Cricetulus griseus: one gene and its partners. The protein of the gene in region 4 interacts with the protein of the main gene of each other region in a pairwise test. Links are inferred from orthologs where the notes say so. Each region holds a gene or a part of one and is shown on either strand. Other genes may lie near its edges. The genes, in order: Fblim1, Cby2, Pnma1, Lmo3, Gpatch2l, Wwox and Pelo.

The links.
Region 1: the proteins of Lmo3 (region 4) and Fblim1 interact in binary tests that used the Homo sapiens proteins (3 or more experiments, as listed by UniProt). The two-hybrid records come from large-scale screens. The link is inferred for Cricetulus griseus from reciprocal best matches to the Homo sapiens genes LMO3 and FBLIM1.
Region 2: the proteins of Lmo3 (region 4) and Cby2 interact in binary tests that used the Homo sapiens proteins (3 or more experiments, as listed by UniProt). The two-hybrid records come from large-scale screens. The link is inferred for Cricetulus griseus from reciprocal best matches to the Homo sapiens genes LMO3 and CBY2.
Region 3: the proteins of Lmo3 (region 4) and Pnma1 interact in binary tests that used the Homo sapiens proteins (3 or more experiments, as listed by UniProt). The two-hybrid records come from large-scale screens. The link is inferred for Cricetulus griseus from reciprocal best matches to the Homo sapiens genes LMO3 and PNMA1.
Region 5: the proteins of Lmo3 (region 4) and Gpatch2l interact in binary tests that used the Homo sapiens proteins (3 or more experiments, as listed by UniProt). The link is inferred for Cricetulus griseus from reciprocal best matches to the Homo sapiens genes LMO3 and GPATCH2L.
Region 6: the proteins of Lmo3 (region 4) and Wwox interact in binary tests that used the Homo sapiens proteins (3 or more experiments, as listed by UniProt). The link is inferred for Cricetulus griseus from reciprocal best matches to the Homo sapiens genes LMO3 and WWOX.
Region 7: the proteins of Lmo3 (region 4) and Pelo interact in binary tests that used the Homo sapiens proteins (3 or more experiments, as listed by UniProt). The link is inferred for Cricetulus griseus from reciprocal best matches to the Homo sapiens genes LMO3 and PELO.

What each region holds. Positions count from the first base shown.
Region 1 is NC_048595.1:11,653,187-11,657,453, reverse strand, and holds the start of Fblim1 (filamin-binding LIM protein 1), read right to left. Parts: upstream 2,801-4,267; 5' UTR 2,740-2,800; exon of another isoform or gene 1,230-2,739; intron 1,158-1,229; exon of another isoform or gene 1,021-1,157; intron 1,002-1,020; exon of another isoform or gene 874-1,001; intron 1-873. UniProt on the Homo sapiens protein: Serves as an anchoring site for cell-ECM adhesion proteins and filamin-containing actin filaments. Is implicated in cell shape modulation (spreading) and motility.
Region 2 is NW_023276807.1:229,960,913-229,965,164, reverse strand, and holds the start of Cby2 (protein chibby homolog 2), read left to right. Parts: upstream 1-1,452; coding exon 1,453-1,527; intron 1,528-1,849; coding exon 1,850-1,930; intron 1,931-2,565; coding exon of another isoform or gene 2,566-2,613; intron 2,614-4,252.
Region 3 is NC_048598.1:119,613,575-119,617,687, reverse strand, and holds Pnma1 (paraneoplastic antigen Ma1), read right to left. Parts: upstream 2,801-4,113; 5' UTR 2,135-2,800; coding exon 1,073-2,134; 3' UTR 346-1,072; downstream 1-345.
Region 4 is NC_048601.1:10,636,350-10,640,412, reverse strand, and holds the start of Lmo3 (LIM domain only protein 3), read right to left. Parts: upstream 2,801-4,063; coding exon 2,776-2,800; intron 1-2,775.
Region 5 is NC_048598.1:117,541,193-117,544,692, forward strand, and holds part of Gpatch2l (G patch domain-containing protein 2-like), read right to left. Parts: intron 2,847-3,500; coding exon 2,779-2,846; intron 1,392-2,778; coding exon 1,352-1,391; intron 1-1,351.
Region 6 is NC_048596.1:191,035,241-191,038,740, reverse strand, and holds part of Wwox (WW domain-containing oxidoreductase), read right to left. Parts: intron 1,119-3,500; coding exon 940-1,118; intron 1-939. UniProt on the Homo sapiens protein: Putative oxidoreductase. Acts as a tumor suppressor and plays a role in apoptosis. Required for normal bone development. May function synergistically with p53/TP53 to control genotoxic stress-induced cell death.
Region 7 is NC_048595.1:332,905,155-332,908,679, forward strand, and holds Pelo (protein pelota homolog), read right to left. Parts: upstream 2,340-3,525; 5' UTR 2,098-2,339; coding exon 1,372-2,097; intron 1,097-1,371; coding exon 665-1,096; 3' UTR 501-664; downstream 1-500. UniProt on the Homo sapiens protein: Component of the Pelota-HBS1L complex, a complex that recognizes stalled ribosomes and triggers the No-Go Decay (NGD) pathway.

The DNA of each region.
Region 1 (4,267 bases), on a different chromosome or scaffold from region 4:
TTTTAACTACCTTAACCCTTTCTTCCCACTAGAGGATCCAGTCTTTTTTCCCCTTTCTGTTCTTAAGGAGTTAATTTCAGCTCTCTGAGACCCAGTTCAGACTTCACCTGTCCTCTACAAAGCCTCCCTTGACTCCCACCCTGGGGCAATCTGTGGCTTCCTCAGGATAAGAACAGATCCTCATAGTACCGATGGCTCACTATCCATGTGTCTGATCCCCTCGGGTAACCTTGCCTGTCTTCAGCTGTCTGCATCAGGAGCCAGACAGCAGCTCACAGAAGCAGGTATGGAAGCAGAGATCTGTGCAGAGGAAGTACCGCCATGTTGGGAAGGGCATAGAAGCCTCTGGGGCTGAGGTCTAGGCGGGTCACTGGGGGTGAACTGGCCACCGAAGTCCTCCCTGGCACCCAACTATAGCACACCTGGCTAAAAATGTGTCCTTTATCTCCCTTCCTCTTTCTGTATGGGCCACCATGATGCAACTGAAGCCCAGTCATGAGCACTTGGGGAGGAATTTGGTTAGTCTCAAGCAGTGGGGCTGGACCGTTGAGGGGTCACTCTAACGGCAGAGGTGGATCCCACATGGTCACTCACAGATTTGCCTCTGATTCTCAAGGAGCATCAGCCCACATGGACTCTCCTGTTGGCTGACAGAGAAAAAAATACTATAAAATAGCTCTAGGGGCACCAGGCACTGTACGAGCCGCACACTTTTAATCCTAGCACTCTAGTGGCAGAGGCAGAGAGAGGCAGAGGCAGGCGGATCTCTGTGAGTATGAGGCCAGCCTGGTCTACATGGTGAGTTCAAGACAGCCAGGGCTACACAGAGAGATCCTTCGAAAGTATTTTTAAGCCAGAAATGATAATACACACCTGTAATCTCAGCACCCAGGAGGCTGAGGCAGGAGGATTTCCATGAGTTCAACCCCAGCCCCATAAATAGAACTTGTTTTGTAAGTTTTGGTCTTCAGAATTAAAACAGAAACCTTAACAGACATTTACAAAGTCAAGAGCTCAGACCTCACACCTCAGCTGTAGGGAGAGGCTCTGTCACACAGTCCCAACCAGACTGGTCCTCCAGCAGACTTGGAATGCTATCAGAGAAGAGTGCAACCTGGAAGTCCACGGGCATCCTTGAACTTTTTCTTCCCTGGACTGTACAAGTCTCCTCCCCCACCTCAAGTCCCTCCCCTTCCCCCAAACGACCCAACCCAGACCAGTTTCTTGCGGTCAACACATTCTAGGCGGGTCCCCTGGGACAGGCTGTGGCTCTTCCTAACGCTCCCCACCTCCTCCCCGCTAGTCTGATCCCGCTCCATTCTGCCTGCTTTCTCTGAAACGTCCAGCATGGAGGCCAGATGTTCACAGCTGGGCAGCCATACCCGCCCCTATCGGTGACAAGCAGCAGAGGGGACCTCGGGCGGGCCGTGGATGGAGCAGCGCTGGGGATTTTCAGAGCCCTGTCAGGTCCCGTAAGGAGAGCCTGCTGGCTCTTCCCTCTGGTCTCACTGCCCCAGAGTTCACCCTGGAGAGGGGGGAGGCGCAGTATGACTACTTCCCAGCCGACCCTCCACCCCCATCCTTCCTCCCCCGAGGGCAAATCAGACACCCAGATCCAGTCGGGTAAGCGGAGAAAGTGGGAACAAAGGGAAGGAAAGTCATTTCCTGTCAAAAGGAAGGAAGAAGGCTGAGAGCCGGCCAGCCAGCCAGGCCGGCTTTAGGCTACAGCCCCTGGGAAGGGATGTGCTGGCTGCCAGGAGTAGTCCCCTCGTTCCTAGTTCTTTCCTCCGAGTCACTTCTAAGCATCGTTCTTTCTTTCACACAGCCCCACAAAGCAATCTAAGTTTGGAGCCAGAATTAAACTTTGCTGGAGGCGGGGAGGAGGGTGTGTGTCCCCACTCACTCCCACAAGACACCTGGAAGTCTCAAAAAGTAAGGGTCTCTCATCCTCTCTCCTGCTCCAGAGGAGGAAGACGCACAGAGCTGCCTCCTCCCCGGCCACGGCTCCTACTGGGTGACCTTGCTGCAGTCACCCAGCGTCTCTGGGCTTGGTAGTTTAGTCATCAAGTGAATAGCCCTGGAGGGGGCTTCGAGGAGACCAGCTCTGGTCATTCAGCCCCAGAGGGCAGGCGGAGCCCTGGGGCTGGAGGACAGTGGTCTCTATTGTTGAGAGCAGGAATCTGGGCGCTGCCCAGTCTCTCCCCTGGGACCTCAGGTCTGGGCTAGAGAAGGGGGAGTAGCTGCACACACCTTGGGGATCGCTCATTCTCACACCCTGCCAGGAGACCCCTTCCTTCCCGTCCCCTAACTGGAGCTGGGAACAGGGCTCCAAGGCCGTGGGAGCTCGGGACCCCCCCCCACCCACACACACACACTCGCGAGCTCGCCCTGGAGCAGCAGCGGAGCGGGGCAGCTGGCCGGGTCACAGCGGCAATTATAATTCAACCCATGTGCGGAACGCTGTCGTCTTTGTGCAGGAGCTTCCGCCCTGCTAGCCCGTTCCACTTCAGCGCAGGGACAAGAACCCACCGCACCGTCCCGCACTCAACCTCCGGAGTTTTTAAAGGCTGAGATCCTGGGACACACAGGCACAAGAGAACACAGGGATAGTACCCGCCCCGAACCCCCCAGCAGCGCCAGGCTGGGGCCAGCGCCGTGGATGAGAGTTGCCCGTGCGGCCACCTGCGGGTGTCCCTGCCTGGGGCGCAAGGCTGGGACCCCCACGCTGAGCCCACTTACCTGCTGCGTGCCCCATGCTCCGGCCTCCGCTGGCGCTGCGCCTCCGCCCCTCGCTCCCGCCCCGGCCTCCCTCCGCCCTGCCGCCCCGCGCGCCTTACCATAAAAGGTGACGCTCGGGGAGGGGGCGCGGGCTCGCCCTACCTGCCCCCCCACCTGCAGCCGCGCCCCCTCCTTTTGTTTCCCGCCACTCCTCCCCCCTTCCCGTGGCTCCGCCTCCTCCGTCGACCCCTCCCCACTGTGCACCGGGGGATCTTTGGTCACCTTCCCCCTAGGTCACCTGGATGAGCAGCCCCACCTGCCCCATCTGGTGGGGAGGGGTACTTACATCCCGTTTGGCTCTGAGATCCTTCAGGGTCCTGAGTGAGGCTAGACGCATGACTTGGGACTGTTACCCTATCTCCCTAAACCTCGGGTTCTTCAATCCCTAAAAGGGAGTCCCTACTGCCCACCTCTGCAACTTGGCTTGGAGTTAAAGCGATAATGCTAAGAGAATCCGGGACTCGCATAGGCTGGGGTCATGGGCTTTTTCAAGGAATGCCTGGGGCAGGGGCCCCAGAGACCTCAGTGAGGCAAGTCACCTGGGTATGCTGTCCTGAGCTGTCAGTGCCTGCCAGAGCCTATTAATCCTTCCACAAGTGGGTCTCAGGTCCTACGGTGGGGAGGAGGCCCCAACAGGAGACCAGGAGCAGACAATCATGCCACCTGTTTGCTTCCTGGCCCTGTTACTGGCCCCTGAAGAAGCAGAGCCCTGGGGCCTGGGGCCTGGCTTGGGGCTGGGCTGCACAGGTCCCTAGAGGCCTCAGGACATTGCTGGGGAACGGAATCTGGGTCTGATTCCCAGGCGAGCAGATTGTTCTTTTGATTAAAGCCACAATAGGGGAGGGGACAGGGGAGAGCTGGACCCAGAGTCATCGCTGGGACAGGGGCAGCCAGGCAGGATTGGGTCCCCTTCTGCAGCCCACAGCCAATCCACTCCTCACAGCGGTCCTGCGGTTACTGCTGAAGGGACCACCCCACTAAGACATCAGAGTGGGGGTGCTTATCTCCATCCTCTTCCTCCACAACTGAGCCCCACACCCCTTTAACAGCCTTCTCTCCCTCTGTCACCAGCCTTTTCCACTTGGTTCTTCCTGCCAGTGTGGAGTGACAAAGACAGTCGCTACAGTAGCTGCCACCTCTAGAGGCTTCCCCTGTGTCCCTTTCAAACTTTTAACCTTTGCAGCCTCTACTCCAGGACTGAACTGCCCCACCTACAGACCAGACCCTGAAGCTGGTTCGGATCAAGGGTGGTACAATGGGCAAGGGGCGAGGTTGGATTCAAGCCAGACCACAGGGTGACCCTCCAGGCACATGAATCTGCTAGTCACAGAGGCTGGATCGCTGCCACCATCCCCAGGTAAGAGCCAAGGGTAGAGCCTGGTACTACACTGAGGTTACCTGTGCCCAAGGGCCCCTTGGGTATGGTCCCAACCTGGCAATGGGGCCTCTGCAATGGGTATGAAGACTCTTATGACCTCTGCTGGAAAAG
Region 2 (4,252 bases), on a different chromosome or scaffold from region 4:
GACATTTTAGTTTTATAGAGAAATCAGGCACGAGGGAAATGTCTGGAGATCTACAAAGATGACACCAGCTAACAATCTAAGCAACAGAGGAGAGGCTACCTTAAATGCTCTCCCGTGATAATGAGATTGATGACTGACTTATATGCCATCCTATAGCCTTCATCCAGCAGCTGGTGGAAGTAGAAGCAGACACCCACAACTAATCATTGAACTGAACTGGAATCCAGATGCAGAAAAGGACGAGTGAAGAGCAAAGGGGTCCAGACCAGGCTGGAAACCCACAGAAACAACTGATCTGAACATGGGGGAACTCTTGCTCCCCAGACTGATAGCTGGGTTACCAGCATGGGACTGATCCAGACCCCAGGAACATGGGTTTCATTGAGGAAACCCCGGAAACCTACTCTCTTCCTACCCCAAGGGGCAAAATCACACAGAACTGGGGCTCTTAAATGGATCTGGAGGTGACAGATTTGACAGAGCTAAGGATGGAGGGATGAGTGTTCTGGCCTTAATGCAGGTTCTACATGTGATATGTTTGGTTGTATTTTTCTATCAGAACAGTGTTTCTTAAACCCTTGGGATTTCCTGACAGGACCTCCTTTGAAACACATCAGTTTATGCTAGGGGAATGACTTTGGGGGTGGGGGGTGATTGTCAGAGGAACCAATCAGGTGATTAGAAGGTTGGAATTTTCAGCAAACGTCTACCTCTGGAAGGATTTGACATTTAGTTAAGTGATCAAAGGCTAATGATTTGATAAAATTTGCCTACATAATGGAACTCCACAAATACCTCTAAACAACTGGGTTCAGACATTGAAGATGCTGGGAGGCAGGTGTGTCCAGAGAAGGCCAGAAGGTTTACGACACTACCCTGTCAAACAGCTCACCCTTTATCATTACCATTTGGCCCCTCCTGAGCTGCATGCTTCTTAAAGTTGTGATCCTAAGTAAATTACTCTCCTGTGTTCTGAGAGACAGCTATTGAACCTGAGGAGCAGCTTAGGGTAACCCCTGCATGGCTAACCAGTTACAAGTACAGGTGGCCCTGATATGGGATTGGTACTTGAAGTAAAAGATCATCTTTTAGGGCCGAGCCCCTAACTTCTCGGAACCTGACATGTAGCTATTATCAGAGTGGAACTGGACTGGAGTTCCTCAGTAGTGCCAAGTCTCTCCAGGTCTAGACAGTTAATGTTTCTCTTTTCCTAATTAATGTGATTGAAACAGATGCCACCTCTGATGGGAGGTAGAGAGGTTCAAGCCAGCCTGGCAGTGAGGTGTGAGTGGCAGCCAGCTGACCAAACAAGGGCTATTGTGTGTCACACTGACCCGGGCTGGCCACCTGAGCACAGCCAGCAGCAATTCTTCCTTCCTGCAGAAGCCTCGTTCCCACCTGAGATGCCCGGAGAGAAACCATGAGCTCAGAAAAACACCATATTGTTCTGTGATGTCACCTCTGGAATGTTCTGAGTGTTTTGGTGACCAGCTTATGCATAGGACCTATACCTGGCACCTCACATTGGTATGGCTTTTTACTTATATAGAAATCGTAGTGTAAAACCAGGAAGAGCTGCAATGATTTCTTCTTGTAAGAGGGCTTCATATCAGTTCATTCCTGTCTTGGTTTTTTGTTCAGTGATCAGTGTCGATCAGTTCCTGATCACTGAGCAGTAAGACTTCTGGCCAGGCGCCATGTACACATGCCTTGAGACTGTGATTTTTATAAGGTATAAAATTAGTCAGAAGGACATAAATGTGTAGAAAGAGGTTATGTGTTTCAGGTGAGCCACTGAGGCCCTGAGGATGGGTTGAGAAGGAGAAATCTGATTCTTTCTTTTTCACAGCACTCGAGGCCAATTTTTACAAGAAAGAGAGATACCAGATCTGAAAGCCTAGAAATTCCAATCAATGTGGTTCTACCTCAGGTAGGGACAATCATGGAAGAATGTAACTTGCTAGAATAACCCTGTTTCCAAGCCTTACAGAATGAACAGCGAAGTCAGCCACTCAGATTCTTGTCATGTTGGTGTTGTTTTCCTGCCCATTTGTCTTGAGGAGGACACATGGATTCTCTGAACCTTGGGGTCCTCTGGCCTTGAATGAGGAGACTGAGTTGGATGGTCAGGTCCTCCAGCACTAGCCTTTCAAGATTTGTTGATACTATGACAAAAGTCTAACCTTCCCAAAGGAGACCCTTCATTGCATGGTAGTGTATAACCACTCAGGACATCTGTAGAGAACTAGAGTCAACCTTGAATCCAGATGCATAAGAATGAACACAGGAGCTGAAACCCCAGAATGGAGCCCACTTGCAATGGTCAAGAGGATTAAGCCCTGCCATGGGCCAAAGATGGTTTACTGGGGATGAATGTTCACTTGTTTCTTTTGAAGCCAGTGAATGATTAAAACACTTATAGCTTGTGGTCTCCAGATCTCCTGCACACAGCAACTTTCTCAGTGGGACCCCCTTTTACTTGAGTGTTCCTTCTGTTGCTATGTCACAAAGGGGTGGCCTTGCTTTCTCCAGTGTTACCCAAGAGCTCATTGGAAGACCAGGGTCATGCAACCAGTGGAGGAGAAATGTAGGATGGAGGGATCCAAGGCACAGGTAATTTCCCTAAAAGTTTGGTCTCAGGAGGTATGTACAAAGAGGATGGATCTCTGGCTGGTGTTCTCTATTAGTGTAATTATAATGAGCTCAGCAAATATGGTGAGAAGGAGACAGAAACACAGGACAAGAGAACCACCTGGGTATTTTTTTTCCTTACAGCATTGTAGTAAGCAGCCACAGTTACATCTCTTTCAGCTCATGATAGCTAAGCCAGATTATTAGGCAACTATGTCCTGGGCATCCTATAGAAGAACAAGGAACCTTGCTAGGTCTGATCCCTGACACATAAACTACACATCTGTGCATGAGGGTGGCCGTGGTTCCTTTGGTACCTTTATTAGCCCACATGTTAGGGGCAGACAGGAGATACCAGCCCAGATGTGGGAGTGGGAATGGGGCTGGGAATAAGATTTGAAAGTAGGTGTATTACTTGCTGTTCACATTGTTGTGACCAAATACCTGGCAAGAAGCAAGTTAAGGGAGGAAGTCTTTATTTTGGATCTTGGTTGAGGGGTAAATCTGTTGTGAAGTGGAAGCTATGGGGTGGGGCCGCTGCCTCACATCACTGCAGATCCATGTTTTTCTCAGTCCAGGATGCTAGTTCATGAGCACTGTAAGACCCTTGGAAAGCTGAGGCTTCCAGAATCTTAGCCCAGGACCTCGGCCACCCCAATCACAGAATGGAGGCGAAAGCTAGATGCAAATTGCATGAGGCTTTATTGTAGTTTAACGAGCTAACACCATGTTAGCTCGGGTCTTTGACCCACCCACCATGGCAGATGGCTAGCAAAGACAGTTTGAAGCTGCTGCATACAGATCTTTATAGGGCAGCATAAGGGGAGTGTTTAGGGGTATGCACAGGCTCAGGATTGGTGTGCCTCCAGGCTTGGAGGGTTTGCCCTGTGTTGATTGGTCAACTGGCTGTTATGGCCCATAGGCCCTCCCAGGGTGGTTGCTATGCTTTGTGCGTCATTGCTGTGCGCTTGTCCATAAAGCACACCCAGGGTCATAAAGCATAGCGCTATCAGCTAACTTCTGATTGGCTCCTTGTCACGAGGCAGGCATCTGACTTTCTAGTGACTAACTTCTGATTGTTTCCTTGTCACGAGGCAGGCATCTGACTTTCTAGTGACTAAGACAAGGTCATAGAGCACGTGTTTGGTCATTATGGCTGCCAAAAGGGAAGCTGGTCCCTTCAAGCACTAGCCACATTAAGTATGGGCCTCCCCTCTGTTAGTCCTTCCCCATAAAGTCCCCACAGACACATCAAGGATGTGTGCCTTGCTAATGCCCTGGGTGTTTCTTAATCTAGCAAGCTGACACAAAGCCTTCATTACTGCCATGCCATAGAAAGATTAGAAAGATCCATCTACCCCTGGCATGACTTTGTCCCTAGCTCCCAGCGCCAGCTTAGCAGTCAAGGAGAAAAGGTGTTTGAGGAGTCTTGGGTTTGTTCTGGTCCTTTCAGGCCTACTTCCTGTGCTGTGGGACCTGGATCTTGGAAGGCAGAAGAATATGGAAGGAAGAGGTCACTGCTGTCTGGAGATTTTTCATGGCCAGCCAGGCTTAGTCAGCAGTCATCTCTAGGTCACTTAAGTAAGCAGCTGGTGTTGAAAAGCAGGAAGAGGATAATTCT
Region 3 (4,113 bases), on a different chromosome or scaffold from region 4:
GCCGGAGCTAGATAGTGAGACTGTATCTAAAAGAAATAGCTGGGTGAGGTGGCTCACACCTGTAACCCTAGCACTGTGGAGGCTGGAGGCAGGAGGATTGCTACAAGTTTGAGGCCAGCCTGGGCTACAGAGTGAATTCCAAGCCAGCCTCAGCTAGCTATCGAGTGGGACCGTGAAAAAGAAACAAAACAATAACCGAGGAACCGGCAACACAAGAATGTGTAGGTGATATTGCAATTTAAGCTCATAGCAAGGAGATTAAAAAATTTTTTGACATGAGCAAAAATGTGCAGAGAAAAAATGTGCAGAGCTAAGTTACACTGAAAATTTTTTATACATGTCAGGAAAAGCAAGATGAGAATTTTCACATTTTTATTTGTATACATCTATTTGATAACTTCAAATTTAGAACACTTAGCATCAACATGACCAATAATTAAATGACAAATAATTCATGTGGGGAAAATGTAGCTTGTTTATGGAAATTCCCCCTGACTTATATTTGTATCTTACACCATGAAAAGTAGGTTGTGCCTCTTCATAAAAATCACATTTTTCTAACTTGCCAATTTTAATCCTAGAGTACTTTGCTGGTAAACTGGTTCTGATGTTGAGCCGTGAGGAATGAGAAATCTGAATTTTCAAAATGAGCAGTATCATCTAACAGACTCATATTCTTCCCATGTATATAAATTAGGGACAATGTACAGTAAAACTATCCACAATATTAGTAACAAATGTCAGTCTGTACCATACAGCCTGTGAAGCAGGCTTGCACTTTCACAATCATCCTGACAGGAAGTGTCTCAGCTTCACATTTTTCACAACTGTCAAAGATGTCACTAGGAGGGCTTGCATCAAGCATTCATTTTAGGCAGTATGAACCACCTCTACTGTTGCAGCCCTGGCCAATCACGCAATTCTGTGACTGCTACACAAATACGCAGGCCTGACTCCCCTATCCCATCCCCCAGAAAACAAAACAAAAACAGGAGGCTAGGTCTTTACTATGAGAGGCAAGGCTTGTAAAACCGCACAGGGATAACAAAAGCAGCCAGACTGATCCAGGGACTCAGAAGTGCCCCTCCAGGCCTAGCTGCAAAAGGGCTGCCTCAGCTTCCTCTTCCTCCTCCTTGGCTTCCTCCTCTCGAATCTGCACCAGCAACTGGAAGAGGTTGGGTGCCGGTCGTTCCGCAGCCCCAGTCAGCCACAATTGCCTTCGGATGGCCCCACTGTGGTTGGCCCCGGCGATGACCTGCTCCAGGCGAGCCTGGTTCACGTTATCTTTATCAATGGCCCCCTTTTCCACTACCTTTTGTAGCAGAGGCTCCAGACGAATGACGTAAGATGACAACTTTTCCCCGGGGTTCTGGTAAGTGTTCAGAAATCTGACCTGTGTATCTCTAGAGCTCTCCACGCTCCCAAACACCTGCTCAAGAGCCTTCAGGCATTCCGCGGTGGTTATGGCTGGGTTGTTGGTCTTGAGGATGCGAATGACATCAGCAGCAGGGCCTCTCAAACTCTCCATCAACCGCCGTCTCTTTTCTATATCAGACACCTGCCATTCTTCTATGACCTCATTCGAGTGCTCCAGCCAGGAATCAAAGGTCTCCTCGCCAGGCCCGGGAATGTCCCTCCCAGAGAATAGCGTCAGCTTCTTATACCATATGGACTCAACAAGAGGTTGAATAACATTATCCAAAATATAATTGAGCATCTCTGCTGGCATTTCTGGGCCTGGAGCGGGAGCAGGGTTCTGAAACCCAAGCACACGAGCAACATCTTGCACAGTCCACCCTTCCCTAGCTAGAAAGAGGTGCAGCCTCTCCAGAAACTCCGCATCAGAAGTGGGGGGCTTAAAGAACACTTTCCAGAGCCCTCCTTTGCCTGGCATCTCTCTAGGGATCAGGGAGTAATCCACTTCCCCGGTGAGCTCTAACAAGGCTGCCTTCGCATTTTCTTCCCTCCAGAACATTCTCCCCAGTACTCGGTAGGGCACTTGGGGCATGGCAGCTTGGAGGGTCTCTTCGATTTCAGCCTCATCACAGTTCACAGGGATCCCCCAGACCAGCAGAGCTCTCTGAGAGTTCACATCCATTCCCCTGCACCAGTCTTCCAAGAGCGTCAAAGCCATTTCGCCCCACTATTAAGGGTGCCAGTTCTACAGACACCGACTGGACTGGCTCGCAGTGCTATAGGACCTAGGACAATACAACATGCCTCCCTCCCCCGGGTAGGCCAGGGGGCGACAAGCTTCAAGCAACCACAATTACCAGTGACACCGGAGTCCAGTCTCGTCCCTTCCGGGTCCCAAAGTCAGTAGTGTCAGGTGCCTCGGGGCACTCTGCCTATCGAATGTCGCCCTCTTTGGTCCGAGCAGGTGCGGGCTGGCCGCAGCTATTCGTGGCCTCACGGCGGGCAGGGGAGAAGCAAGGTTGGCGCAAGGCGGTGGGCTTCAGCTTCACGAGGGAGACGGCCGGGTGCGGTCGCGGGGTGTGGCAGCTCCCCCCCGCCGCTCTCGGGCCGGCCGGCCGGCGGTAGGCGCGGGCGTAGGGTCACGCGAGGCAGTGGCTGGGAAGACGCCGGGAGAGGCGGTACTCGGGTCCGGCGGCTGCGGCAGCAGGCGAGCACCGGGGACGGAGGCCTCAGGGAGGCGCGGAAGGCGGGAGGCCGGATGGAGGCAGCTCCGCTCAGCGTCTAGAGCAGCGCGCTCCCGCAACGGCCGCCGCCGTGCAGCTGCAGTGCAGGGCGGGGCCGGTCCGCTCGTCAGTGTCGCCGTGGCAACCGTATCCATGACGACGGGAGATGCGCGAGCTCCAGAGGATCTGGCGGTTGCTATGGTACCGAGGGGTTGAGGAGTCTATTTTGTGATGGCGCGCGCGCGCGCGCACACACACACACACGTATTTCCCAGCTTCTTTCTTAACAATAAATATTGCAAAGCATCGTTTTCTTTTTTTCTTAATCTAATTTTGCTGTGAATTTAAGTTGGCCTTATTGATACGCATCCACCACGACAGACTTGTCTGTCTCATGTTGCTCATCCAGCTTATGCATTCACTATGCAGCCCATGAAAACACTCAGCACTCTGACTTCTGCGTACCTCCTGACCACACACCACAGCTGCTGCTTGCTCCTCCCCAGGAAAGCAAAAGACAGAATGCCATCTCCAGGTTCCTGTGAGACTTACTATGCTTTCTTGCCTAAATTTTGTATATATATATATAAAAAAAACCAACAAAATGCTGCTGCTGCTACTTCTTTGTAGCCAGGCAAACTGCAAACACTTTCATTTCTTGATCTTACTGAGTATACAGGATAACAAAAGAGAATGCTTAAGGCTCAGAAAGGTAGGGTAAATTCTCTTCAAGCAAGGCCTGTCAATCCCAGCTGGCAAAAACATCCCTATAAATCAGGCGGGCCTTGGTGGCCCATGCCGTTAATCCCAGCACTCGGGAGGCAGAGGCAGGAGGAGCTTTGTGAGTTCAAGGCAAACCTGATCTATAAATTGAGTTCCCGGCCAGGCTCCAAAACTACACAGAGAAACCCTGCCTCAAAAAATCAAATAAATAAATAAACACACAAACCCCACCCCTATAAAGATATGGCATTGGGGGCTGGATAGAAGGCTCACTGGTTAGGAGCATTGGCTGCTATTCCAAAGGACCTGGGTTCAATTCCCCGAACCCACATGGCAGCTCACACCTGTCGGTAACCCCAGTTCCCAAAGATCTAACAACCTCACACTGATACACATGCAGACACAGAACACAAATGCAAATAAAATAAAAATAAACAAATCGTTACAAAAAAAAGAATATGGCGCCGGGCATTGGTGGCAAACTCCTTTAATCCCAGCACTCGGGAGGCAGAGGCAGGCGGATCTCTGTGAGTTCAAGGCCAGCCTGGTCTTCAGAGCAAGTTCCAGAACAACCTCCAAAACAATACAGAGAAAACGTGTCTCAAAAAAAAAAAAAAAAAAAAAAGGAAAGAAAAGAAAAAGAAAAACCAAGAATATGGCATTCAACAGTGAATTTTTTAAAATTTTTATTTAATAAAAGGTCTTAAGATACAGAACATTCAAAAGTAAATAAGTTACATAGGTACATTAC
Region 4 (4,063 bases):
GCAATCCACAGACCACCCATTAACACTGTTTCCTCTCCTAGGCATAAAGTTTTAAACTTAGATAGACAAAGATATGAAGCACCAAATATGAATGCATTTAAGAGGGTTTCAGAATGGAAAATGAAGCATTTATGATTCATTTCTCCTCAAGATAAGTAAACTCTCTCCTTCCTTCTGATACCGTGTGATGAAGGGTTCAGCCCTCATTACCTCCTCTGCCTGTAAAAGAAAATCACATTGGTAAGGGGCATGAACGTATGCCCACAGCCAAATGAGTTTCCCAGCTACCAATGTCACATGAACTACACATAATATTAGAATGTTCCTGAGCTTTCATCGGAGAACAACTTGTGTGGTAGAGCAGCAGAGGAGGGAATGCAGGGAAGAAAGCAGGGTGGCTGTTCTGTGTGCCTGACAGGCATGGCTGTAGTGCTCTGAGCTGTGGACCAGCAGCAGATTTGTGCTGAAGAGCAGGTGGTACCCCTGTAGCCTGCTTTCTGCTCCTTTTCTTTGAAGGAGCTAAGGGCCTAGTGTAGATTAATCATAACCCTTGATAGCTCTGCTAAATCTCACTCTCTAGAACTTCTAACAAATGAAGTTTCTTTGATCAGAACTAGTTATCCTTTGCTAGCAAGGTCCCACAGGCATGAGTCCCATTAATTACAGTGCACAACAGGCCCAGGTGCCTCTTAGTCATATACTTGGGGGAAAAGGGGGATTCTGATTTACTAAGGAAGTCCGGATTTCATGACTGAAAGCATACAGAGGTATGCTAAAGGTAACCGTCCTAATTATCTAATTTGAAGTCTGTGTTTTTTATATCACACACCTAAAAGATGAAAAAGGAATTCTTCTTAGGAAGCTAAGCTCCATTATTTCCAATGTTTGTGACATTATTATTAAGTGTAAAGGTTCAGCTATCTTTATTCAAAATAAATTGTAACCAAGACAGCAGATACCAACATTTGGCACAAGGAATATTATACTGCTTGTCTTCACAAAGCGTTTTTGTTGTGTTGACATTTTAATGTAGCACCCAGAGGCCAATTAATAACTGAAACTCTTTCATTCTGTTTGGCCTTGTGTATAAAAGAAGTTTGATATTTTCTATTCCATCCTCATATCTTCTTTTAAAGAACACTAACCCCTTTTCTCTTGCAAATGGAATCTGTTCCATTCTATGCATTTAAAAAAAATGTAGGCAAACAATCACTTGGTCGTCACCACGGTGCCAAGCACCTAAAAAGCAGAAAGCACTGAGCAGTCTCTGCTCTTGATCCAAGAGAGTACGTCTGGGGAGAGTTATGTGTTCGTGGCTAAGAGACACTTCACAAGTTGCTCACAGCCCATCAGCACTCATAACTAGTTTTAGATTGGCATGCAAATTGTTCTGAGGGAAATTCTTATTGCCTCTGAGACCCTGCCATTCTGAGTTATTTGACAGTTTAAGGGAAATCATAATTTTCAAAAAAGACATAAATAATAGCCTGTGCAGTGTGCTGTGCAGAAATAAGTAGAACCGTTTCATTTAAACTCTGGTGAGCTTTTAATTGCCTGGATTGCATTGTGAGAAGGCCTGACGGTTGATTGCATCCATTATGTTCCCTTGTTCTGTGTCATTCATCCGCACAGTCTTAGCTTCAGTAGTTAACACAACAAAGTAACCACAACTCCACAACACACAGGGGCTTAAAAAATAATCACAATAATGAAAGATGCGCAGCACTTAGGCACAGTGTTTTTTCTTTCTTTCCTTCTCTCTCTCTCTCTCTCTCTCTCTCTCTCTCTCTCTCTCTCTCTCTTTTTACACCAATGTATTATTTGGACTGATCACACAGAATGAATGGGAAACATTCTTTCCCTTTCAGAAGATTTACAGAGGACAATTTGGGGAAAAGGAGAAGGGGCTCTGTCAGAAGGGCTTTTGGAAGAGAGGATGCTAAAATTGGGACTGCAGGTTTCGCAGCTGGGAGCAATGACATAGATTAAAAGAATTTGGCCAACACAGCCTTTCGATTGCCAAGAGTACCAAACAAAAGATTTTCTCTCCTCCTGCCCATCTTCATCCCACTCCCAGTCACTCCCCCCAACCCAGATTGGAAAACTGGATTGGGCCTAAAAGCTTGTTTCTCTCTGTTCACTGGCCCAGAGCACCCCTACAGGCTGCAGCCCCCTAAGGGAAAACAATGCAAATAGATGTCCCCAAATCTCTGGCACTAGAGCTGCTTAACTCTGTTCTGCCCCTTCAACTCCCAACCCCCCTCCGTGTCCTTCCACCACCCTCCCCTTTTTGAGCAATGGAGCTGGGAACCAATTTGATTCCCTTTTTCTCCAATGCAGCTGCAAGGCTCAGAGATACTGACATTTCCCCACTCTTATCAGTTTAATTACAGTTACCATGGCAGCAAAGTGCTAGTGCTTGGCAAAGGCCAACAAGAGATTTGCAAGACTGGGTTCAATTTTGATGCAGCTCACATGCAAAATAAAAAAAAAATAAGAAACATACATACACTCTAACAAAGAATCCCCTTGCGGAGTTTATGATCCAACCTTTTGTGGCTGTGTCTTTGCAGCAACACAGGAATGGTTTTGCAAAGAATGTACCAGTATTTATGGCACCTAGCGAGATTAATTGGTGGAAAGCAGCAGTCTTTAAAAGCAGTAGACACAATAATATTTCGTGTCTTCAGCAACAGAAGAACTGGCAGGCTTTGGAGCTAGCCACGAGTGCCGAGCGCCCCGAGAAAGTGCATCTATGAAAGACTGTAACCTTACCAAAACTTTTCTCCTGTTTCTGCATGAGTTGTCTTAGGCGTGCCTGAGCCGCTGCAGCTTCGCATGGAGCACCAAGCCCACAGGCAGGAAGTAGAAGAGGGGAGTCACTTTTGGATTTGGGGCCCAAGCGTGGATCTGGTGAGCAGCGTACAGGGCCGAGGATCCACTATTGTGAGGCCACTTTGGGAGCTAGGGTCTAGTGGTGAGGGAGGCAGGCGGTGGGGGAAGGGACAAGGGAACGTGTAAAATGATGGCGAATGACAAAGCCACATGCTTCCCTAACTCTGCCCGTAATCCTAAAATCCCAGCGGCCCCTTTTAGCTTCCTGGTAACAAATGGATTTGATTAAACCGTCACACGCAGTGTTAGCATAGCATATCGTGTTCGGTATGAAAAAGATCATAAATCTGACTTGCGTTTCATAACAGCAATCTGAGTAGCCCCGATTAGAATGTGCTGAATCTCTAGACCTGTTAGGATGCAGGCACTTGAATCCAAGGAACCTGCCTCTACTGGACACTTGTCTCCTCTTTGCATGGTCCAACATAGTCACTTTTGCAACACACAGAAGCAGTGTTTTGTTATTAGAGCTGCCTTGGGTAGAAGCAGGGGTGTGGGCAAGAACAAGGTTGTAATTTCAACTCTTTCTTTGGGGAGGGCACGGATTTCACCAATCAGGCATGGAGAGGGCTGAGAAAACACCCGAGACTGACACCACTTCCCTTAGTCTGGAAGCATTACCCCCCCCCCAAAAAAAAAAAAACACCTTTGCAAACTGTCTCAACCCCTCTTCCGGAATAGGGTGTCTGGATGCCGCAGCTCCCAGTGAACTTTGTCTATTATGCTCTGGACTCCTACTTGAGATGTCACGCTGTAGCCGCACGCTCCCCCTCTTCCTCAGGCATCCTCATCTTCCGCCCCGCATCTATTTTGTGTCTCATCATACAAAATAATGATGCCTCCCACGATTTAAACAAAACAAACAAACAGAAATCGTCTCTGCAGACCTGCAGCCAGTAAAGTTGCAGCGGTGGTGGTGGTGGTGGTGATGGTTCGCGTGCAGCTTTACTTTATGCTTCATTGGGAGAGGATAGGGAAGAAGAAGAAGAAGAAGAAAACCACCCAACATCCGCACACGCACGCGCGCACCCGGAGACACACACAGCACAAATAAGCCGACGCGTGTGTACACAGCCTCTTACTTACCTTCTCAATTAAGCGATACAGGGGAGGGTGTTCAGTGAGCACAGAGGCTGCTTGGTAGCGCTTCTCCTTGGGAAAGGTCAAA
Region 5 (3,500 bases), on a different chromosome or scaffold from region 4:
TTAAAAGAACAGAAACTTAGCTAATACACATAGCTCAGCAACTTCAGGAAAATAGTTAAAACCCATGATGCGTTGTTCCTCACTTGTACATAGCAGAAGTAGCGCAAAAGATGGCCATAAATCCTGCCTTTGCATGCTCTGAAGCAAATACAATCCACACTCTAGCTTAACAGTTCCCAAATCTCTCGCATGCGACCTTCATGACCCTTTCTTTATCTGCCAACTATATGAACTGTTCATCCAGAATTTTCTTTACACCAATTACTTACACTCAGTTTTGTCCTATTTCCACCAGGTAAGTCTGACATAGTAATTACATTTTTCTAACATACATTATAATATATAACTTCAAATACGTAATCTAAAATCATCTCATAAACACACACTGGTTTTATCTTCCACTGTTCTAATTATTGTGAAACAGCAACTTCCCAGTGAACTTTGCAAATATAAACTGTGTAACATAATAAAATGCTAAGTAGTCCCCAAAATAAACAACCAGTCAACCATGGAGCAAAAGGAAGCCTGAGAAGGTTTGCCCATCAGTCTCTATGAACTTCACAGCTCAGAACTAAGGTTAGGCAACCCTTACCTCTAAACTGAAAGAATTTCAAACATCTATAAACCTAACAACAACCACTGTGAGTTACTTTTAAATCATGGATCCTCCTCAAAGCCAAAATGTATTAAGGCATCCCTAAAGGGGAGTCAAGGAAAAGATTAAGAGAAAAAAGCTCCAAAGTCTTGATCATTTCCCCAAAAGGAGCTCAGCCTTCTGCCTCCTATGCTCAGACAGTCACAGCACAGGATTCGAATGGCAAACTAACCCAGAGACATGAGACTCACTTTACATTTTTAATCAATTGAAACAATAAGACAATGGGTTCAATGGTTAAGAGCAAATACTGCTCTTCCAGACGACTCAAGTTCAGTTCTCATCAGCATGTCAGGCAGCTCCCAAATGTCTGTATCCCCAGCTCCAGCACATATGATACCCTATGGCCTCTGCAGGCATCTGAGCTCACATGCACCTATGTACATGGACACATAAGTAAAAATAAACCTTAGGGGGGAAAAGCTAAAATAAAACCAGGCTTCCCTTGAAATGTGTTACAAATAAGAAGCTGACAACTGCAGCTGAACCTAAGGAGGGAATTGGCTACAGTTCTTTCAGATGAGCACAGAGCAGTCTTGGAACTCAGCTCTCAAAAAAGTCAAGAGTGATGGAGAGTGATCTTAGTCACCTCATGTGCACAAGCAAAAATGTGAGGAAAATCAGAAGCCAATGTTTTATTCTTTCTAAAGAAAAGGAAACTGAATGATAAAAGATGACCCCCCAAAATTATCTTACCTGCTTTCGTTCTCTTTTCCCAGCTGATGGTAAGCAGAAACTGAAGAGAGAATAACAGGAAAGAAAACAATAAAAGAAGTGATAGGAAAAGTAAGAGGGAAGACGATCACAGGTGGGATACTGAGTGAAGACAAAGAAGGAACTGGGAGCGATGCAGCTGAAGGAGAAGGACGCCAGCTGTGTGTGAACAACAGTCTCCCTGAAGTAACTGCAGTGGAGAAGGCAAAAGTGGAAAGCAGAAAACTAGACAAGGAAGAGCCAACTAAGACACAGCCTTATCTCAGCTGTGCATCGAGAAAAGGACTCAAACTCCAAAATCAGACTAGGTTTATGTATAGGACTGCTCTTGGGTACTGACCATAATGATTAAGGAATAAACTATACAATTTCTTTAGCATATACAAATGTGGGCTGCTTTTTTTTTTTTAACATACATAGTTGATATGTATGCATGTATGTGTGTGAATGGAGGAATGTAAGGTCACAGGTACACACGTGTGTGGAGGTCAGAGGTCATTGTGATGTCTTCCAAGCTCACTCTCCACTTCATTTATTGAGGCAAGGTCTCTCACTGAACCTAGAGCTCCCTGCTGGTCAGCTTGCCCTGGGATCTACTTGTCAAGGGCTGATATTACAGGCAGGCCTACCATACCACCTGCTTCTTTATGTGGGTGCTGGGGATCCAAACTCTAATCCTTATGCTTGATCCACTGAACCATCTCCCTAGTCCCAATATATATGTATTTATTCAGCAGATATTCAAATTTTAGCCATGGAAGACCCATAAGAAGACAAAGCACACAGCAAAGCCAACTGTTTAGGAAATGAAGCTGTTATGAGAAAGGCAGCTCCATTCATGATTCCTACTGCATTCACCATGGTAACAGGGACAAAAAGATTTCTCCTTAAAGAGGCCTGAAGGAGAACAGAAGCATTTGGAACAACCATTTTAAAAAAATTAAGAGAGAAAAATGCATTTAAAATATAGTCTCTTAGTGGTGGATATTAATATAACACCTAGAAACATAACAGGCAACAACAACAACAAAAAACTACTCTAGAAAGAAAAAGAAAAATCACTGTCATGATTTAAGACTTTAGCCATCTTAAAATTTTACTTTTTTATTATTGTGTATGTCATAGCATACTTGTGAGGGTCAGAGGACAACTCTATGGAGTTGGTTCTTTCCTTCTGGCTCTGGGATTAAACTCTGGTCATCAAACATGCAACAACAGGTGGCAAGCACTTTTAGCCATGAGCCATCTTGCCAGCCTGATTTTACCCATCTTAACTGTTAGCAAGCACCAATCTCTAAAATGCCCTCTTTCGGTTCTCAAGTCTAATAGAAAGATTGCTTTATAGAAACCCTCTCTACCTCCTTCTCCAAGGACCAGGCTAGGACAGCAGTAGGCACTTAGGTACTTACTCTTTCTGCCGGGGGTCACTGATGATATGGCTTATCCTCTCGGTTCCTAGACTGCTTATGCTGGTTTCCTAAAAAGATAAGAAAAAGAGTGTCATCAAACCACAGAAGCAAATATATACAATTTAAGCTGTTACCAAGCTAAATTTTTCTCTAACCATACCAAGCAATCTTAAGGTTGTATCAATCTTAAAATCCAACAGCAACTATTTTTTTTTTAATAGGAGTACATCTTAGAAGTATCATCTATTACCTAGCTATTCTCTGCTGACTTAAAAGGCTTTTAAAAAGCCGTTATAAATACTGTTTGTTGGGCTTGGGATATTTTTCTATTCTAAATTTAGTTTTGTATAAGTGTGTGTGCGCAGGTACACGTGTGTGGGCACTCATAAGTGTGTGCATGAGTAGAAGCCAGAAGACTATCTCAGGTGTCATTCTTCAGGCACTGTCCACATTTTTTGAGACAGAGTCTCTCCTGGCCTGAGCTTAGCTATCTTCCTCCTCCCCAGCGCTGGAATTACAAGCATGCCATTGCACCCGAGGTGTTTCTCCCATATTGTTCTGGGGAACAATCTCAAGTCCTCCACAAGCACTTTGCCAACTTGAGCAATAAACTCCAGCTCTGTTTATTTTTTAATTGACACATAAGTGAAATATAAAACTAATACCAAATACTGTTTCTTTTTCTTTTTAAAGATTTTATTTATTTATTATGTATACAACAT
Region 6 (3,500 bases), on a different chromosome or scaffold from region 4:
ATTTACTGATTGTATCTTGGATGGCAATCTCAAGCTCTGAGAGCTGCCACACAAACAGTGGCTGATCTGCTATGGTACCACTTGCTGGAAAATGATGCTGAGAACTCCAAAATCAGGAAAAACAGAGAGGAGAATAGAGAAAAGCTCATGAGAAAGGTCATGAGGGGCACTGTGATAGAAGGACAGAAAGAAACCTGACAGAGGACAGCTGGATGCAATTCTATTCTTTAATCTGCAGAAGCATATCCTATCTCAAAGCAATTCAGATGCTAATGTTAGGTGTCAATGGACCAAAACAAAATAAAACCCATCCTTCAGGATGCACAAGTGCCTGCCTCATTGCTACCACTGCACCAGTCCGAGAAGCCACTGACCTCACCATGGCCACTGTGGTTAAACAGCAGCAATTAGGAGGGTTGCTGCAGAGGTGAAGACAAGGACGAATTCTCCAGTTTTATGAAGAAATAAGATATGGTTACCAAAAGAAAATGATAGGCTCAGTGACCAGTGGAAACCTGCAGTACCCTTGGATCCAAAGTCACAATCTGCTATTGTCCAGTATCCCATTACCAATCAATTTTGGTTTGAATAACCCAGGTAATTGGAATACATCCATGCACCACACAGACCGGGTCAAAAACTCTTAGCCAGAGCCTGTTGTCTCCAGCCCCTGAATACCAAAATAGCCACAGCCTTTTGCTGACTTCTCAGCTTTGAGCAACTTCAAGGTCAGGCCCCACACAGCCTCCCACTGTAGCACTGGGATTGAAGGAGGCTGTGATTTTAATGAAACGACAGCTGAAAAAGCTATGAGACCATCTTTAAACTGGAGATTCACTACCAAAGTTTCATTACAGTTATATTTAAGTGGAATTCACTGTAGCACTCACAAAATAATAAATGAGTAAAAACAAGATGACAGTTAAGCTATGGGCCTACCTATTCCTGAATTTGCTCCGGTAACCAGGACCACTCTCCCTGTGAAGTCCCGGCCCTGCAGGATCTCCATGGCGGTGGTGCTACCATCGTATCTCTGTCTGGTAGTTGGCTTTGTTGGATTATCATCCACAGTAAATGCCAATCTTGGGTCCAAGTAGGTAGTTCTTTTATTTATGTGGCTGCAAAGAAGAGAAAGGGCATTGAACTCTAAACAGCAAGGAACAGCAGCTCCAAATACCCTAATACTCTAATTCTTCAGGCAAACACCATGGTTCGTGCACCAAAAGGTTTGTCAAAGATGGAGAGATCCAGAACCCATTTGATCTATCTTCTCATCCTCAGAAGAACCATACTCTGCCTGTGAACACAGCCATGAAGCCTCTCAGAACTACTTGAAGGTTCAAGGACACAATTGGCCCCTTAGCTCTCATAACAGCTTCCTGAGAAGGCTCTAGATTTCTACTGAATTCGTGTTCATATAAATTCGTCTGCAAGATCTGCCAGCCACTCTCGTCAATACATGCCCATGTAATTTCACTGGCCTGCGCAAGGGCTTAAAAACTCTGTTATACAAGGAGAAAGTGGAAATGATGAAAGTCTTAATAACTACAAAGCAAGCCAAATAGCAAAGTTTCGATGCTGTGCATTTTAAGACCATGGCCATGCCACCTATAATAAGCACTCTACTTCTGATTTGGAATTGATCTAGAACTTACAGAAACAACATTAAGATACACTGGCACATATAGATTATTAAATTATTCCTTTTAATACCATTTTTACATTTTTAAATGCATTCTTGGGCTGTCAAGATGGCTCAGCTGCCTAGCCTGATGACTGAGCTCAATCCCTGAAACCTATGTGATAAAGGAAACAACTCCTGCAAGTTGTCCTGATGGCCATGTGTGGGCCATGATGTGCACGCATGCATGCACATACACACTCTAAATATTCAAAATGTAATACGAAAATTATGTGTATTCTTACGATCTGAGATAAAGACCTTGAAATGTCATAAACATGTTTAAAACTATTAAGAACCCTCCTGATATACAAAGAATACTATGATTTAAAATGTATGTGTCTGAGCTACACGGCATAGGCCTGTAATCCCTGCTAACAGGAGAACTGCAATTTCAAGGCCAGCCTGAGCAACTTAGTGAGATCCTGTGTGACAATGCTGACATTAGGCAGTGCTGGCTGTGCTGTCATCTCTGCTCCTCAGTGATTCCACCTTGGTAGCCGACAACTGGTGATGGTGACAGTATCTGCACATGGAAACAAATGTGCATTTCTTTTCCCTAAGGAGCTGGTTGTTGAGCATATCCCAGCACACCCCTGCAGCAGGCTAGAGAATAACTATCCAGGAAAGCCTTCTCCTAGCTTACTTCCAAAGCCCATACTCATTCTCCTTTAGATCAGCAGCTGACTGATGTGGCCATAGCTTGCTTCTGTAGTTTTATTGGGGCACAGCAATGGCCATCATTTTTTGTTCAAAACAGAAACCATGTAGTGCCATACCATAAAACATAATATCTGATCCATTACAGATAAGTTTAGCTGACCCCTCTCTATAGTAGGCCAGTCAAACCAACATGTTTCAGAATCCCCTGGAGGGCATAGGCTACCAACACCACCACCACCACACCCCAAGTTGATTTTCAGATAGTAGGGGGTCTGAGTATATCTAATAAATTCCCAAGAGCTGCCAACGATGCTGATTGGAGAGTCCACTTTGGAACCACTGCTCTAGGCCAGTAAAGAGGAAAGCAACCCAGAGAACAGCTTTACAGGAGGAGTCCGGCTACAGGGAGCCTAAGAATTTCTACAGCCACGCTCTCCAAGAAAAATGTGGAAAAGGATATTTCGAACACAAAATTAAAGAAATGATGTTCCTATTTTGATAAGGTAAAAGATTTTTATAAATCAAGGGAGAGTAAATTCTTTATAATCTAATACGTAGCAAAGAATATCCACCCACCCACCTGATAGAGAGGCTGCCCTACTGGAGCTGCCAATGACTGCTCAGACTCTCCAAAGCAAGCCCTGGCCTACCTGCTCCCAGTGGAGGAGACATGCCAGGAAGGCAGTTCACTGGGATGGCTGACAAACCATTTACTTCAGGTGAACCTGTTACTATAACTATTACTACAGGGATAGTAACAGGTGAGACCAAAATAAACTGTCACAGTAGTAATAAAAATTTGAAAAATGGAGTTCCAGAGATGGCACAGCAGTTAACAGCACTTGTTGCCCAATTGTGAGGATTGCAGTTTGGAACACAGCACCCATTCATCAAGTCAGAAATCCTGTGTTTACAAACTGTAACCCCAGCTCCAAAGGTTTACTGGCTTCCACATGAGCCAAGAAAAAGCAAGGTCCAGGTTCAGAGAGAGGCCCTGCCTCACAGGAATTTGTAGGATGACAGTAGAGGGATCTGATGCCCTTATACAGTCACACAGACACATCAATCCTTTGTAAAGTTTTTAGGAAGTCTCAAAGACAAGCAGCTTAAAAGAAAGAAACAAGGAAAGAAAGGCAGGCAAGCAGGAAGGAAGGCA
Region 7 (3,525 bases), on a different chromosome or scaffold from region 4:
GAGAAATGTCCAGATTTGCCACTCCTCGATACACAGTAAGCAAACCACAGGCTTTCATCTCATTTTTAAAGTCCAGAGACTGTGCTGAGAATCCCTAGTAGATCAGACCTCTACTGCCTGAAAATAACTGTCTACAGAAAGTATGATTAGAGCAACAAAGAGCAACAAGAGTGTTTTAAAATCGACTAGTTTAGCAAATCTCTAAAAGAAAATAACATTTTAGGCTTGGTTTTAATTACACTTTAGTAAATGTAGCCAAATCCTGAAAAAACAAAAATTAGAAAGAGGTGAGAAAATGCATAATTAAATGAAATGCAAAAACACCATGCAGAGTGAAAATAAACTTCATGAGAGATTAAAGATTTTTACAAGGAAAACCTATTAAAACAGGTACATGGGCTTTAATGATCAAGCCCAAACAGCAGACTCTTTTCCCCCTTAGATACTCAAATTGCTGTTTTCAGGTATTTAGAAAAAATAACTCCAATTAGAAACCATAATGCTGGGACATTCTTTTCTTTTGATTTATTTAATTTGAATACATGTCCTGCCAACTATAAAACACTAGTGTGACCAACACACCAGAAATCCCAGCATGATCAACAAGTGCAGCTTTTGCACCTGTCAAGGGACACTGAGAAGAAGTAACTATTAAATGTCAGTCTTAATCCTCATCAGAACTGGAATCATCCTCTTGGTCAGAAAGTTCCGGCACTGGGAATCGAAGAATGGCAGCAACTCCCGTCAACTGGCCAAGCTGTTCCCCAGACACATGGAGACTAGAGAATATCCGAACCGTGCCTGCGTTATCTTTCACGCTGTCCACCAGCCTGACATACCGGCTCCGGGTGGCCACATCCTGATGCCGGAAGAGCTCATCACTGATGAGCAATGTGTCGATCGCCAAGGCTTCGTTGGCCCTCTCCACCTGCTTGAGTCCATAGAAGGCTCGGTCAGGTTCGTGCTGTAACATTTTATAGAAGTCATCCAAGGCTTTTACTTCTCCAGCAGCTTTCGTGTCTGAAAGGCGGCTAGCTACAGTAGGGTCACAAAGGGCCTCTTTCAGGGAGTACTTGTGTCCAGAGGAGGCGTGTACCTAGAATCACAATTATAAAAGACAAAGAATCTTTGAAAGTATCCGTTAATCAGCCCACAATGGCGTAAGACAAAAGCATGAATAAGGCCTTATCTATTTAAGGACTTCTGCAAAGGTTACCTTATAAATGTGGTAGACCTACACCGTTCTCTTTACTGATTCATTTATAATCCCAGTTAAATTGAGTTTTAGCCTTCTACTACTCTAAAACATTACGAACCATTCACACCAATCCCTCTGCCCACTCCTGAATTTCTCTGGGTAAGAGTTTTTACCTGAAGGAATTTGGACCGGTTTTCCAGGAGCACTTTGTTGTCAGTCTTCACCGCTTGCTGAAACATGTAGTCGCAGAACTGCTCTCGAACAAACCCTGGGCTGGCCACCAGAACGCACTTTACAACATCAAAGTTGATGTGGCGCTGGATGGCCTGGACCACCTGTTCATAGAATCTCTCCAGGGCCTTGTCATGCTGGGAGCAGTTGCCTTTCCGTTTCCTGGGTATGTTCACCTCCACCTTGGCACGGGTGAGGGTCATACTGGGTGTCACTAAGCAGACGTGGGCGAGGCCCTCCTGCATGACCACAGCTGCCACATCAGCGCTCCACGCTGGGTCACAAGCCTGCTCGATGCGCTCCAGAACCACACTGTCCCACTGTTTCTTGGCCAGGGTGAACTGGCGGTTGGGCTCCAGTTCGATGGTGTGGTAAGCTCCCATCTTGACATACTCATTCTCTTGGATATTGGTCCCCTTAACTCGCAGCTGGCAGGCTTGAGAGTCAAAGTCGATGGCCTCCACGCAAAGAGTGAGGGTGGTGCGGACGCGGTTGCTCCCGACGCTGCCCGTGGAGGACTCGGTCTGGACCTTGCGGATGGTGGAGGCGCGCAGGCTGTCGCCCACCTGCACCAGATTGTAGGTGTGCCACATGTCCTCGGGCTCCTCGGGGATGAGGGTGACCTGGCCCGCATTGTCCTTCTCGATGTTCTTCCTCACAAGCTTCATGACCTCGCCAGGGGCTCACTTCAAAACAGAAGGCGCCGAGGGGGGTCCGCAAGAGACACAGAGGCGCGGGTGGGGGTGGGGTCCTAGGCTGGGAAGGGGACAGGAGAGAAACACTACCTCTAACTCCTGCCAGCCCGGGACAGGCTTTCCCCCGACGCTTTTCTGAGCCTCGGCGCGCAGATCCACGCTGCGCGGCAGACCCCACGCTGAGCACACACAAGCCGGCACTTTCAGTCACCGGCCCCGCGCAAGTGGCTGACGCGGCGATCGCGCATGCGCAGCCCGCCTCCCGGCGCATGTCTGTCGTCCCTACCGGAGAGGCGGGCCCTATCGCTTACGCGCGCACGCAAGCGCAGTAACAGGAAAGACGCAGCCTAGCTGAAAGTCAAGGGAGGTGCTAAACGGCTCTGGCCGCCACTCTTGAGAATTAAAGCCGAACTCCGGGTGGCTGAGTTTTCCCACGCCTCCCTGTGTACGAGGAACTGCGGAGTGTGTGAGTGCTAACGTAAGTATCTAAACTGAGTTTGCCACTTTGCACTTCCTTCCCTGATGTGGAGCCAGCTTCCAAACTTATGTAAAAGTGAAAAGAGCCCACGAAAGTGCAGTGCAGACTTAGTCCCCGAAGTCCAAACTCTGCCTGGTCTTGCTCATTCCTTCCCCGCACTCAGACGTGACGCGCGCTTGTTGGCACTGGGATTCCCAGAAGCAGTTTCTAAGGACTAGTCACGTTCGGCCTGGGCTCAGCAACATGCCCAACTGTTTTCTGCGACGTTACCCTGTTTGGACTACCCAGTTAACCCAGATGTTAAAGGACAGAACCCAGAGAGAGCAGAAGCTATGCGTGGAATGTACCCCTGGTGGACCTCTGGGTGGCTTGACCTGATGTCCTGGGAATCCCAGAATCCAAAATTGGCAGTCAGCTCTCCAAGGCTCAGTAGTCTCTGAGGCGCTCAGTGTGGGAGCTGGCCTGCAATAGATTAGCGCTGATTCTCCCTGCCAATAACTGGCCAAAAGCTGAGGCTATGGTAAATTAAGATAAACTGATCTACTAACTATGACCGCCCTCCAAAGAAGAGCCATAGAATTGGTTGTAAAGAAAAAGAAAAACCTTACACACACACACCCTTTTTTTTCACCATGGCGATGGGAATATAGGAATGCCTCTTTCTTGAGTCTGTAGACAGTGGGAAGCAGAGAAGTCTTGAGCTCACTCATACTCTCACTGTGTTTTAAGTATTTTAAGGATCAAGAAGGTGCTGCATAGGCTCTTAATGAATGAAAGGTCTTCATTGGAGTACAATCAACTTTTGGAAATTTCAAAAACACTTTCCCACTCTTTCTTTTCTTATAAAGAAAATGCTACCCTAATTTGTAGAAAAGTAAAATGAAATTCTGAGAAAGCTGATGAATGTGTTCAAGAGCATGTAA